Cricetulus griseus: one gene and its partners. Each later gene encodes a partner of the first gene's protein in a complex. Links are inferred from orthologs where the notes say so. Each region holds a gene or a part of one and is shown on either strand. Other genes may lie near its edges. The genes, in order: Kcnd3, Kcnip2 and Kcnip1.

What was found.
Region 2: the proteins of Kcnd3 (region 1) and Kcnip2 are in contact, whole or in part, in a cryo-EM structure (PDB 7W6S), measured with the Homo sapiens proteins. The link is inferred for Cricetulus griseus from reciprocal best matches to the Homo sapiens genes KCND3 and KCNIP2. Residues at the interface, in NP_001365898.1 of Homo sapiens: Val5, Ala7, Trp8, Leu9, Phe11, Ala12, Arg13, Ala14, Ala15, Ala16, Ile17, Gly18, Trp19, Met20, Pro21, Val22, Ala23, Asn24, Cys25, Pro26, Met27, Pro28, Leu29, Ala30, Pro31, Asp33, Trp54, Arg60; in NP_775283.1 of Homo sapiens: Arg112, Gly113, Phe114, Asn116, Glu117, Cys118, Val123, Phe128, Ile131, Tyr132, Gln134, Phe135, Phe136, Tyr144, Leu148, Phe152, Phe165, Leu169, Ile172, Leu173, Arg180, Trp183, Ala184, Leu187, Tyr188, Met201, Met205, Ile208, Met211, His228.
Region 3: the proteins of Kcnd3 (region 1) and Kcnip1 are in contact, whole or in part, in a crystal structure (PDB 2NZ0), measured with the Homo sapiens proteins. The link is inferred for Cricetulus griseus from reciprocal best matches to the Homo sapiens genes KCND3 and KCNIP1. Residues at the interface, in NP_001365898.1 of Homo sapiens: Ala6, Ala7, Trp8, Leu9, Pro10, Phe11, Ala12, Arg13, Ala14, Ala15, Ala16, Ile17, Gly18, Trp19, Pro21, Val22, Pro26, Met27, Pro28, Leu29, Ala30, Pro31, Lys34, Lys36, Arg37, Asp39, Trp54; in NP_001030009.1 of Homo sapiens: Leu67, Arg69, Gly70, Phe71, Glu74, Val80, Phe85, Ile88, Tyr89, Phe92, Phe93, Tyr101, Leu105, Phe109, Phe122, Ala125, Leu126, Leu129, Leu130, Leu138, Trp140, Thr141, Leu144, Tyr145, Ile161, Val162, Ile165, Tyr166, Met168, Met169.

What each region holds. Positions count from the first base shown.
Region 1 is NW_023276806.1:51,541,583-51,545,933, forward strand, and holds the start of Kcnd3 (potassium voltage-gated channel subfamily D member 3), read right to left. Parts: upstream 2,883-4,351; coding exon 1,777-2,882; intron 1-1,776. UniProt on the Homo sapiens protein: Pore-forming (alpha) subunit of voltage-gated A-type potassium channels that mediates transmembrane potassium transport in excitable membranes, in brain and heart. In cardiomyocytes, may generate the transient outward potassium current I(To).
Region 2 is NC_048596.1:15,766,244-15,769,143, reverse strand, and holds part of Kcnip2 (Kv channel-interacting protein 2), read right to left. Parts: intron 2,397-2,900; coding exon 2,301-2,396; intron 1,522-2,300; coding exon 1,423-1,521; intron 868-1,422; coding exon 743-867; intron 450-742; coding exon of another isoform or gene 405-449; coding exon 335-404; intron 166-334; coding exon 95-165; intron 1-94. UniProt on the Homo sapiens protein: Regulatory subunit of Kv4/D (Shal)-type voltage-gated rapidly inactivating A-type potassium channels. Modulates channel density, inactivation kinetics and rate of recovery from inactivation in a calcium-dependent and isoform-specific manner.
Region 3 is NC_048600.1:48,809,417-48,813,064, forward strand, and holds part of Kcnip1 (Kv channel-interacting protein 1), read right to left. Parts: intron 1,005-3,648; coding exon 900-1,004; intron 1-899. UniProt on the Homo sapiens protein: Regulatory subunit of Kv4/D (Shal)-type voltage-gated rapidly inactivating A-type potassium channels. Regulates channel density, inactivation kinetics and rate of recovery from inactivation in a calcium-dependent and isoform-specific manner.

The DNA of each region.
Region 1 (4,351 bases):
GACATTCCTATTTATCTCCAAAATGATCCCATTTTAACTCTGACACCCATCAATCAGCCTGGTATTTATCCCAATACAAATTCCTCCCTTTCTGTCATGAATCCCATCAGAAAGCAACTAAGGACACTGGGAAGTTGGGATCTCATCAGGATCATGCTTGAGGTTGGGATGAGGTAGCTAGGTTTCTTTAGGAAAGTGAAAGATGGCCAGGGTCAGCATAGAAGGAACAAATATGAAGCCAAGTCCCTAGATCACTTTATCCCAAATATCCCCTGGTATCAAAAGCTTACATATGCCATTTGATCCAAGAAAGACACAGTCCCAGAGTTAAACATTCCCTCTGATGAGCAGCTAGCTATTTGGTGAGCACAGTTGTACATGTGTACACCTGTGTATGCATGATGCATAGTGTGTGTGTGTGTGTGTGTGTGTGTGTGTGTGTGTGTGTGTGTGTGTGTGTGTGTATTGGGAAGAATGTCTGTATAGCTTTCTTTAGACAGAGGTAAAGGGAATGCCTGAATCAAACATGGTCTTCACAAATGGATGGTGACAGCCCTTGTTCCTCCCTGCTCCTCTCTTGTGGCAGAATGACAAATGTAATCACTTTAAAAGGTCCAATCACCTGCTCAGTCGTTCCCAATAAACACACGCAGCACTATGGAATAACCCATACCACCACAACGGGGTTTCATCCAAGAAAAAAAAATTGAATCACCAGGATGCCACCAACTGAATTGTCAAAGACCAAATAAAAAGCTTCATGAATTCTCCATCAGCAATATAATGCTTCCTTGTCTAAGCAAATCTAGACCCAGCATATGAATTGTGAAGAGATTTTTCATTAATCTCATGGCTTCCAAAGGCTGAGGCAGAACCCCTCTGAAATCTATGTCTCCCTAAAGCTGCCTTTATTTGCTCTAATCCTGTTAGGGTGAGATTTCAATCTTCTCCCTGGGACCCCTTCCTCTGATGGAGCGTTTCACATCCCAGCACCATACATTTATTTTTGTGACCTGGGTGGAGTGGAGAACTGGGAGATCTGGAAGAGAACATCACCTGACATCTCACTGAGCACTTGTCTCTTGATGATATTGCTGGTTGTCTGACCACATGACCCAATTGAGACTATTTCACAGGCACACAGGTAGCCTGGGTCATTCCACCCCTGACTCTAACTGATAAAACAAGCTTGTTCCTCCCTTAGTGAGAAAAAAGAAACTGGTGCCTTGCTTTACAGAAAACCCCAAATCAGGACCTTTGAGAGAAACTCTAGTCTGTGGCAGCAGAAAAGGAAAAAAAAATGAGGCAAAAGAGAAAGCAGCTTGCAAATATACTACAAAGGAGAAATGCAGGAAGGACGGGTGAAGAAATCTGCATGTACAGATTGTACACTATTTATCCAATTCTCACAACCCTTCTGCCCCACCACCCGCCAGCTCTGTCTGCCTCCCCTTCATAGTCCTTAGAGGCACTCCACCCTGCCACCACACTCACCACACTGCTTGTCTGGAGGAAAGACACAGTGACTTAATTTCCCATGTTTTATAAAACACATGCCTCACTCAGCCCCAATAGAATCAATTCCAGAGCAAGTCACCACCCACAAACAAATCACTCATTTCTTTGCTGACTAAGTATATCCACTTCCCTGGCTCCCATGACTTGAGTAAAGGGCTTTATCTCCAAACTTCCTCTCCTCAATCCTGATACACCACCTAAAGCTTCATGATCAATCAACCCAACTTCACCCTATCCAGGCCAGTGGCACTGACTTACCCCAGTGTAGTCATGGTGACGATGGTGTACCAGAAAGATGCGGGGATGCTTGTGAACTTGCTGGCAGAGGAGCCCTTCTCGGCATAAAACATCACAGTGGCAAAGATGATTATGGCCATGGTGAGGGAGAAGAGGAGAAAGCCCAGTTCCGAGGCACAGCTCTTCAGGGTGTACCCCAGGATTCGTAGACCCTGGGAGTGTCGAGAGAATTTGAAGATCCTGAAGACACGGAAGACCCGGAGCGTGACAAAGGCCCCGGACACATCCTCATTGTTGGTCATGACGAGGCCAATGTAATAGGGCATGATGGCCACCACGTCGATGATGCTCATCACACTGCGAATGAAGCGGTATCGGCTGGGAGCCGCGAAGAGCCGGAGGAGGTACTCCACTGTGAAGATCATGACGCAGGCAGTGTCCAGGCAGAAGAAGGCCACCGAGTAGCGCTCTCCACATGGCAGCTCCTTGCTCCCGGGCACCGTGCCGCATGGCACCGTCTCCACCACGTTGGTGATGACTGAGACAGCAATGAAGAAGCCAGTCACGTAGTAGAAGACCAGGGCCAGGGTGCTGGTGTGTGGGTTTTCGAAGGCCCGCCACATGGTCTGGCGGAAGCTGAGTGAGGGCATGGACTCCTGGTTGTTCTCAGAGTCATTGTCATCCATGAGCCGCTCGGCGTTCTCCCGCTTGCGGTCTTTGTACTCCTCGTAGCAACAGTCTCCAATGATCTCAGGGAGGATGCCATAGAAGGCCAGCTCATCGTCGTAGGCAGAGATGCACTCATACCGCGGGTAGTGTAGCTTCCCCGTGCGGTAGAAGTTGAGCACACAGCGGAAAACTTCTGGGTCACGGTCAAAGAAGTACTCCTTGGTGTCCTCATTGAAGAAGAACTCCTTCTCTGTGCTACCAAGCAGAGTATCGGGGTAGCGCTCCAAAGTGGTCCTCCAGGTCTGGAACCGTCGTCCACTCACATTGAGGACAATCAGCTCGTCTTGCCGCTTGTTCTTGTCAGCTGGAGCTAGGGGCATGGGGCAGTTGGCCACTGGCATCCATCCAATGGCCGCAGCCCGGGCAAAAGGCAGCCAGGCTGCAACTCCCGCCGCCATGGTGACTCCAGCTTTTGGGCTGGTAGCTGCTCAGACACTGTGCACACCAGCTTGGAGTTAGTTCAGTGACCCCTGGGGGACAGGAGAGATCAGAGAAAGGGCTAAGTCTACTTTGATTTTTGTAGGATAGGGACAAGGGGAGGGTCATTGTGTGAAACAGCAAGTCTCCAAGGCAAGTTAAAACTGAAAGACCCAAAGAGGCAACTCTAACAGTGACACAAGGACAGTACCTCACAAGGGGCTGTGCAAAGGACCAGTTCATCAGATGTTGCTGACTGGCTGACAAAGTGTCAAGCTCCAGGGGGGTCCAGAAGTACTTGGGAAGGAAAGTGTCTAACAAGAAGATCTGGGAAGATGGGTAATAATTAGCTCTGAAAGGTTATGGATGTTATTGCGAATTTAAATTGGGAGAGGGTAAATGAGTTCTCATTAAACGAATTTAAAAGTGGGATAAACATGCTAATTTTTATTTCACTCTTCATCCACCAGGGTAATCAGGAATTGGGGTGCCAATGAAGGAGATCAAGTAAACACACCCTTTACATTTCTCCCTGGTGGGAAGGAGACTGGGGCTGGGTTTAGAAAATTTGGTTAAGGTGGGAGACCCCAGCAAGTCCAGAGCCTAGTAAAGTTCCATCCCTAGCTCCCATCGAGAAAGCTTTCTCTGGCAAATTGCAACTTACTCTTGAGAATGCTTGGCCTGGATCCTTGCCCTAGCAACCTACTGTCCAATTGCAGCCTTCAGACGCATGATGAATAGACCAGGGGAAGCTCTGTACAGGGTCTCTCTCCCACCCAGCGAAGGAATTCTTGGGTTCTTGGTCCACCTGACTTCCACATACTGTCCCTCTCCCACCCCGGAGCAAGCTGAGCCACGCTCACTGCCTTCCCTAACTCCTTCGCCTCCTGTCTCCATCTGCCTAGAACCCAGAGTTCCCCATTATATAACAATACACCATCCCATGCCAGGCTCTCTCACCTGTCCTCTCCTGCACCCTCGGAACTTCTTCAGGGCTGGGCACCCTTGTCCCTTCACTCACAGCTTTCTGCACCTCATTTCCCCGTCACCTGCCTGGATGGAGGGAACAATGGCACAGAGAACTATATTTGGCTTTGAGAAGCAGATTTACCTTCCCAGATCTGGCTTTTTAAAGATGATAGTGAAATGACTCTGCAATCCCCAAATGTATACCATCTGTGGGAAGACATGTGGTGACACAGAAACACACGTAACAGTGACGGGAAATTGTTTGGGGTTGGCACGCTCAACTCCACTAATCCTAAACTGATCACACAGTGCAGAGCCAAATCTTAACTCAGTTATTTGGATTCTCTAGAACTCAGTTGGTTTATTTCTGTATTGAAATAAATGAGGCAGAGGTGACTTTGGGAGTTGTTGTGTTGTTTGTTGGTCTGGTTTTGCTGTTGGATGACTTACTACACAGAGACTTGGGATGAACCTTGGCCTT
Region 2 (2,900 bases), on another chromosome or scaffold:
TACCAACCCATTCTTTGGGTTTGGTGTGGAAATCTTGACCACCAACCCCCAGCCCAAGGAAACAGGCTTGTTTGACCCATCTCTCCTAGCTCACCTCAAAGCTGACAGAGCCATCATGGTTGGTGTCAAAGGCATTGAAGAGAAACGTAGCATAGGTGCTGGAGTCTGGGGATGAGCATGGAATGTGACCTTGGCCTTCAGGCAGGGGTGCTTGCTTCGTTTCTGCAGCTGGCCCGGCCCCCACTACCTCAGCATTCCCAGGCCTCCGGAACCCTTCTTCCCACCTCAGCCTAACGATGGACACCCATCATGCCCCAGCCATCTGTCTCCTCACCTCCTTGGGGAAAGAACTGCGAGTATATCTGCTTGAAGTTCTCCTCATTGACAATTCCACTGGGGCATTCCTGGGTAGGGACAACCAGACTGAGCAGAGACACAAACCTGACTTCCTTTCCAGTCATGGCCCTCAGGCCAGAGACTCCCAGGAGGAGGAAAAATCACCATGCCTCTGTAGAACTTACCACAGAGTTCTGGTACCAGCTGGCAAGAAGACTTCCCCGCTGTACAGATAAACAAGCCCAGCCTGCCACCACCAAGGGCCCTGAACCTCAGGCTAGACGCTGGACCTGTGGCCCATCTCCCTCTTCAAAGCACCCAGGCCATACTTTCCAGGTGACTGCCAGTCAGTCAGCCAGGCCTCTCTGATTCAGCCCTTGCCCAGTTGGCTAGGCCCTCCACTCACGTTCTTGAAGCCTCGGTACAGGACCTGCAACTCTTTGCGTGTGAATTTGGTTTGTTCCTGCAGCTGCTCCAGACCCTCAGGCCGGTGACACACGGTGGACAGTTCAAACTCATCCTCCACGCTGTCTGCGGGGAGTGGTAGGGGGATAGCTTTGCCTCAGGTCAGGCCCCTGAGATGCTTGAGTAATCTTCAAAGTAATTAACCCATCCCCCTTCTCCTTGCCCTTGCTTCCACACCCAAGGCCAGCCTGTCACACTCAGAGCTGAGGCAGTCAGAGGAGAAGACACTGGTCGGCCTCGAGGTCTGTTGGGGTTAAGGCCATGCCTGGCTCCAGAGTCAGAGGTCTAGACTCAGCACTGGCCCCTGGGCCTTGGGGAGGGAAGGCCAGTCCCTTGCCGTGACTTCTTAGAAAGAGGACAGAATGGAGACCAGGGGCTCCTGAGGGTTGGAGGCAGGGGCCTTTCTTGACCAGCTCAGGTCGGCCCAGCCCCAGCCTGGGAGAGCCCACATCCAACCCAATCCCAATCAAGCCCCACCCATCCCAGCCATGCCCGAGCCATGCCCCACCCAGCTCCAGCCAATCTTTGTTCAGACCCCAATCTTGACTCCACCCTCAGTCCCACCGTCCAGCCCCCAGGCAAGTACCCCCCCATCCCACCCCAACCAGGACAATAAGTCACCTGGGTCCAGCGGGCGGGGTCTGTGGGGGCGGAGGGAGGCTGGGGCAGCTAATGCTGAAGGGAGCGAATTGTCACCAAGAAGACCAAGCCCTGTAGATACTCCCCTGGCCCCACACTCACAGGAAATCTCAGACTTGAGTGTTTCCACACGCGAACCCCAGGCCCACTGCATAGGCACAGACACAGTGAACACAGACATCCAGGGTGCCATGGGCTCCTCACAAACTGCCCCTTCTTGGATTAACTCCCCGGGTGGCACCATCCGAGTGCCACCATCTAAGCAACTACCATCAAATAATTACAGACTGGGCCTTTATATAGCTTGCAAAGTTCAGTGTGCTTTTATAAGGAGGGTAAGGCTCAGCCAAGGAAATGGAACCTATAGACAAAAGGAGGTTACTAAATTGGTGGCCACTCAGTTGAGGACCAGGCTGGGACAGAAAACCTCAGCACTCTGACATCTGTGAAGGTGGACTCCACCATCTATACCTGGCACACTGTTAGAGCATAGGTGACAAACATTCCAAGGTCTAAACAGTAGAGAAGCCAGAGTTGCAGAGCAACCTAGCTAGCTAAGTCACCCTGCCATGGCCACATGGTCTTCAGTTCTTACATACGAGCCCTGATCTGCCATTTTGCAGACCAGGGGTGCCACAGACACTCATGATCTGACAATATATTCATTTGTAGCCACAGGCCTCACATTCAGACCCAGCCAGTGAGTTCCTTCCTACCCCACCTCCCATCACCCCCCCGCCTCTCTCTCTCTCTCTCTCTCTCTCTCTCTCTCTCTCTCTCTCTCACACACACACACACACACACACACACACACACACACACACACGTCCCGCCCCCAGAAGCATAGGAGAGGCACTTGCTTTCACTGACTGAGGGCAGGGCTTGGGGCCCGCAGCACGGCAGCAGCTTGAGGAAACGCTGCTTCAGGGCTTTTTTAGTGGGCCCTGGAGGGTGGCCTGGGAAGAGAGAAGACCCCAGGAAGGCACATTAACTCCCACTGCACCCCTCCCCCGTTCCATTTTCCTGTCCGCTCCCCCACCAATCACAAATCAACACTGGCTGGGGTGGGGAAAGGAAATGAGGGGCAGTATAGACGGGCAGGATAGCTGGGGCCAGGTTGCCTGTTGGGTCTCACAGTCATGGAATGTCAACTGGAGCCAGGCATGGTCACTTTGTATAACGAGAAATGGCTGGCAAGAGCAAGGCAGCCTCAGTTAACTGTTAACTGCTAACCCAATTCCTCAAGGTAACGTCTACTCTAAGGAATCTGAGTAGGAATCAGTATCTCTCTCTCTCTCTCTCTCTCTCTCTCTCTCTCTCTCTCTCTCTCTGAGTAGGAATCAGTATCTCTCTCTCTCTCTCTTTCTCTCTCTCTCTCTCTCTCTCTCACACACACACACACACACACACACAGGCATATTGTAATTTAGAATGGTAAGTGACATATTTATGACAGAAAC
Region 3 (3,648 bases), on another chromosome or scaffold:
ATTGCTACATTATTCTTATGGTGACATCCGAACATGTAGTAATCTGTTCCTGTTATTACAACAAAATAACTGGAACTGGGTGCTGTATTCTTATTGCTCAAGAGGTTTAAAAGCATGACACCAGTTTCTATCTGCTGAGAGCCTCATGAAGGATGACATCATTTTAGTGAGCACATGTGGAAGAGGTCACACAACATAACAGGAAGCTGGAGAATGAGGAGGGCCCAGATTTTCTCCTTCAACTCAGGCTCATGGCAGCCATAGCACTAATATCTCTGAGGCAATGCTCACAAGGACCTAGTCCACCCATTAGGCCCCATTCATTCAAGATTCCATGACCTTAAACACTGCCACACCGAGGACCAAGCTCCCATGAACCTTGGACATACACCCAAACCACAGCACATATGTTCTCTGCTGGCCTATCTGGCAGAAAGATCACTGGACACAAAAGGTCTATCTCTAAACTGGTCTATCTCTAAACTTTCAAGATGTCAGAGAAATCTCTTTTCCTAGCTGCAAAGTGGGAGGCTTGGATTAGGGTGAATGCTGACATTTTTCTAGTACTCTATATTGCTAGATATTTTTTAAAATTAAGGATGCCACTTCTCCACTCAATAATCGGTAGTATCTATCCATCCTTTGCTAGATCAAGGCCAAACTCCCCCACTTAAGGATCTTACAGCCTGGCTTTACCTTAATTTCCATTTATTCCCCTTTGCAATATGATCAGTAAGTACACAGATGCGATGAATGAAATCTTCTCTACTCAGGTCCTGTGAGATTTTTATGGAATCTACTGTTTATAGTTAATGATAATAGACTCTCTGCTCTCTTCTGTAATGTACACTGGTCTGCCTCACAGGAACATCTCCTGGTCAATCAGTATGCATACATACCTGGAAGAAGACATCCACATGCTGCCTGGGAGTGTCCTCTTTGAGCACAGGATAGGTGTATTTCCCCATCATGTCGTAGATGGCTTTGACTATGTCCATCATCTCCTGGAAGAGGACATGGAGGTACACACTGTTGGGACCATGAGGTCAAACTTTCTTAGGCAACAGAATTTAGGATGGTTTTGGGGTTCTTTGTGCCAACCAGAGTGACTAAGAGGACTGTTTAAAAGAGACGAATGGGAGCTAGAGAACTAGAATAAACTCCTTCCTCAGAGAAAATGGCAGACTCCTCTCTGCCTTCAGACATCTTGGGTGGTTACCTCTTCTTGCTTTGTTCTCAGGGAGGTCATTGGATTCCACATTCACAGACTGAGACAATGAAGCATTATTCTGACTTAAAGGTAAGTTAATGATTTAGACTAGCCTTTTAAATACCCTCACAGCTTCTGTTGCTGTTTTAAGAAAAAAGTAGCCAACATAAGGATTATTGACAGGACACTTGAGGTTTTCTCTAAACCCATAATTAATAATTTTAAACTTACAGGAAAGTTGCAAAACTATTACGGAAGGCTCATGTATACCTTTTACCTAGTTTTCTTTAATATTAAAACTTGTAAAACTGCAGAAAAATAATCAAAGTGAGGAAATTAGCATTGCTACAATATTATTAGCTAAACCATAGTTTATCCATATCTCATCCATTTTCCCACTGACGCTTTTCTCCTTGAGATTGCATTTTGTGTTGAATTGTGTGTTCTTCATGTTTTCAGGACTTTGACATGTATGATGGGGATGCTGGTCAGCTGTTTTGTAGATGGTCAGTTTGGGCAAGACCTTGCAGAAGCAATGATTGTTCCATCCTGTCAATGCACCATCAGGGAGGTACATGGTGTGGCTATGTCTTATGACTGGTGATTACTTGGTTATTTGACTAAAGAGTTGTCTGCCAACTCTCTGATTTTAGTATTTGTCAACACACCTTGACAGCAAAAGTGATTACTATGGTATTTTTTAATAGCAATTCTATTCTATATTGCCTTTTAAAAGTTAATGTTTCAGATCAGAGATAAAAAATCCTTTTATGATTCTGTTGCTGTTTTAAATTAGGACAAGGAAGCCAACAACCAACATCCACAGGGCACTTGAGGCTTTCTTTAAGTAGGTTATTAATAACTGAAGATGTACTGGAATACTTCTGCTAGCAAGAGATGCCTATCTTCTTTTATTCACATATTTATTATTTTATTATGTATTTAGTTCTTTGGACTTATGGATATCTATTATATTTTGTTGGTAACAATCCAATATTATCATGTTTTATTTTGTTGATTAATTTTCCTCAATTAAAACTCCTCTAGGCTGATGCCTGTAGTTGGTTGATCTGATCAGGGTTCAGGTTCATTTTCTATTTCTCCCCCTTCTCCAGTTCCAAAGACAGCTTGCTAAGGAGAATGGATCCTTTTTTATCGGAGAAAGGTATTTAGAAAGAATGACCTTGGTGCCATCAGTTGGTCATTTCTCCAGGACTCCCCAACCTATAGAACTAAGAAATGAGTTTGTATTCACATATCCATTTCAAGATCAACACTTTACTGGCCTTTCACCCCCATGTGGTCACTGAGCTCTTCCCTGCTTGAGAAATTTTTATCAAAGAAGGGACAGAAAGAGCAGGGACAGAAAGAGCAGTTTTGATTGCTCAGGATTCTCATTGCTGGCAGGTGTGAGAAGAATGTCCCAGAATGATTGCAGGATGATGTCTCAGGAAGCTACTGACTGACTCACATTCGTGTCCACCCCACCATTAATTTTGCCATCTAGAGATGTCTGATAGACATTAGTGGTGGTAATTCTGCTTACTTTGCCTGTTATAAAGAGAATAGTTAGTAAGTTTATTCAACAGTATGATGGGAAAATGTATTGAACCAAGGTTGAAGATCAGGAAACATGAATCCAGCCTAAGCTCCCTTCTCTAGATGCTGTGTAAAGTTGTATTTGAGTATTTTAGAATATTTATATACATACAAGTAAGTATGTATATAAGAACTTAGATAGATGTCTATGAAATTGATGTAATAGCACTTTGTAACATGATTTTTAAAACATGAAATTACATATAATTGTTAATCTGTGATTTTAAATGGTCACCTGCTATTTAATGAGTGCTTGAAATCTGGGTCTGGAAAGATAAGTGTGTACTGCTCTTACAGAGGACCCAAGTTCTGTTCCCAGCACCCATGTTGGGTGGCTCATAACTGCCTGTAACTCAAACTCGCAGGCATATGGCACCCTCTACTGTGTAAACCCACCCCTCCATGCATTTATACATGATTAAAATGAAAACTTTTGCACATATGTTACAGTTGTGTAGCTTGGTCTCCTTGTGGGATTCCTAATAGCGGGAGCAGGGACTGTCTCTGACTCTGCTACCTGCTTTTGGGACCCTTTCCTCCTACTGGGTTTACTCGCCCAGCCTTAACAGGAGAGGAGGAGCCTAGTCATACATACTTGACATGCCATAGCTGCCTGATACACAGGGGAGGCCTGTCATTTTCTGAAGTGAAAGGAAGAGGAACAGATGGGGGTGGGGAGAAGGGATGTTGGGGTGGGGAAGGACTGAGAGGAAAGGAGGGAGGGGAAACTGATTGGGCTGGAAAAGTTAATAAATACATAAATAAATAAAAATGTCAGAATCTAGAGCCTTTGCGATACGATACAAACGTTGTTGTTTTAATAGCTTTGGTTTCTTCAT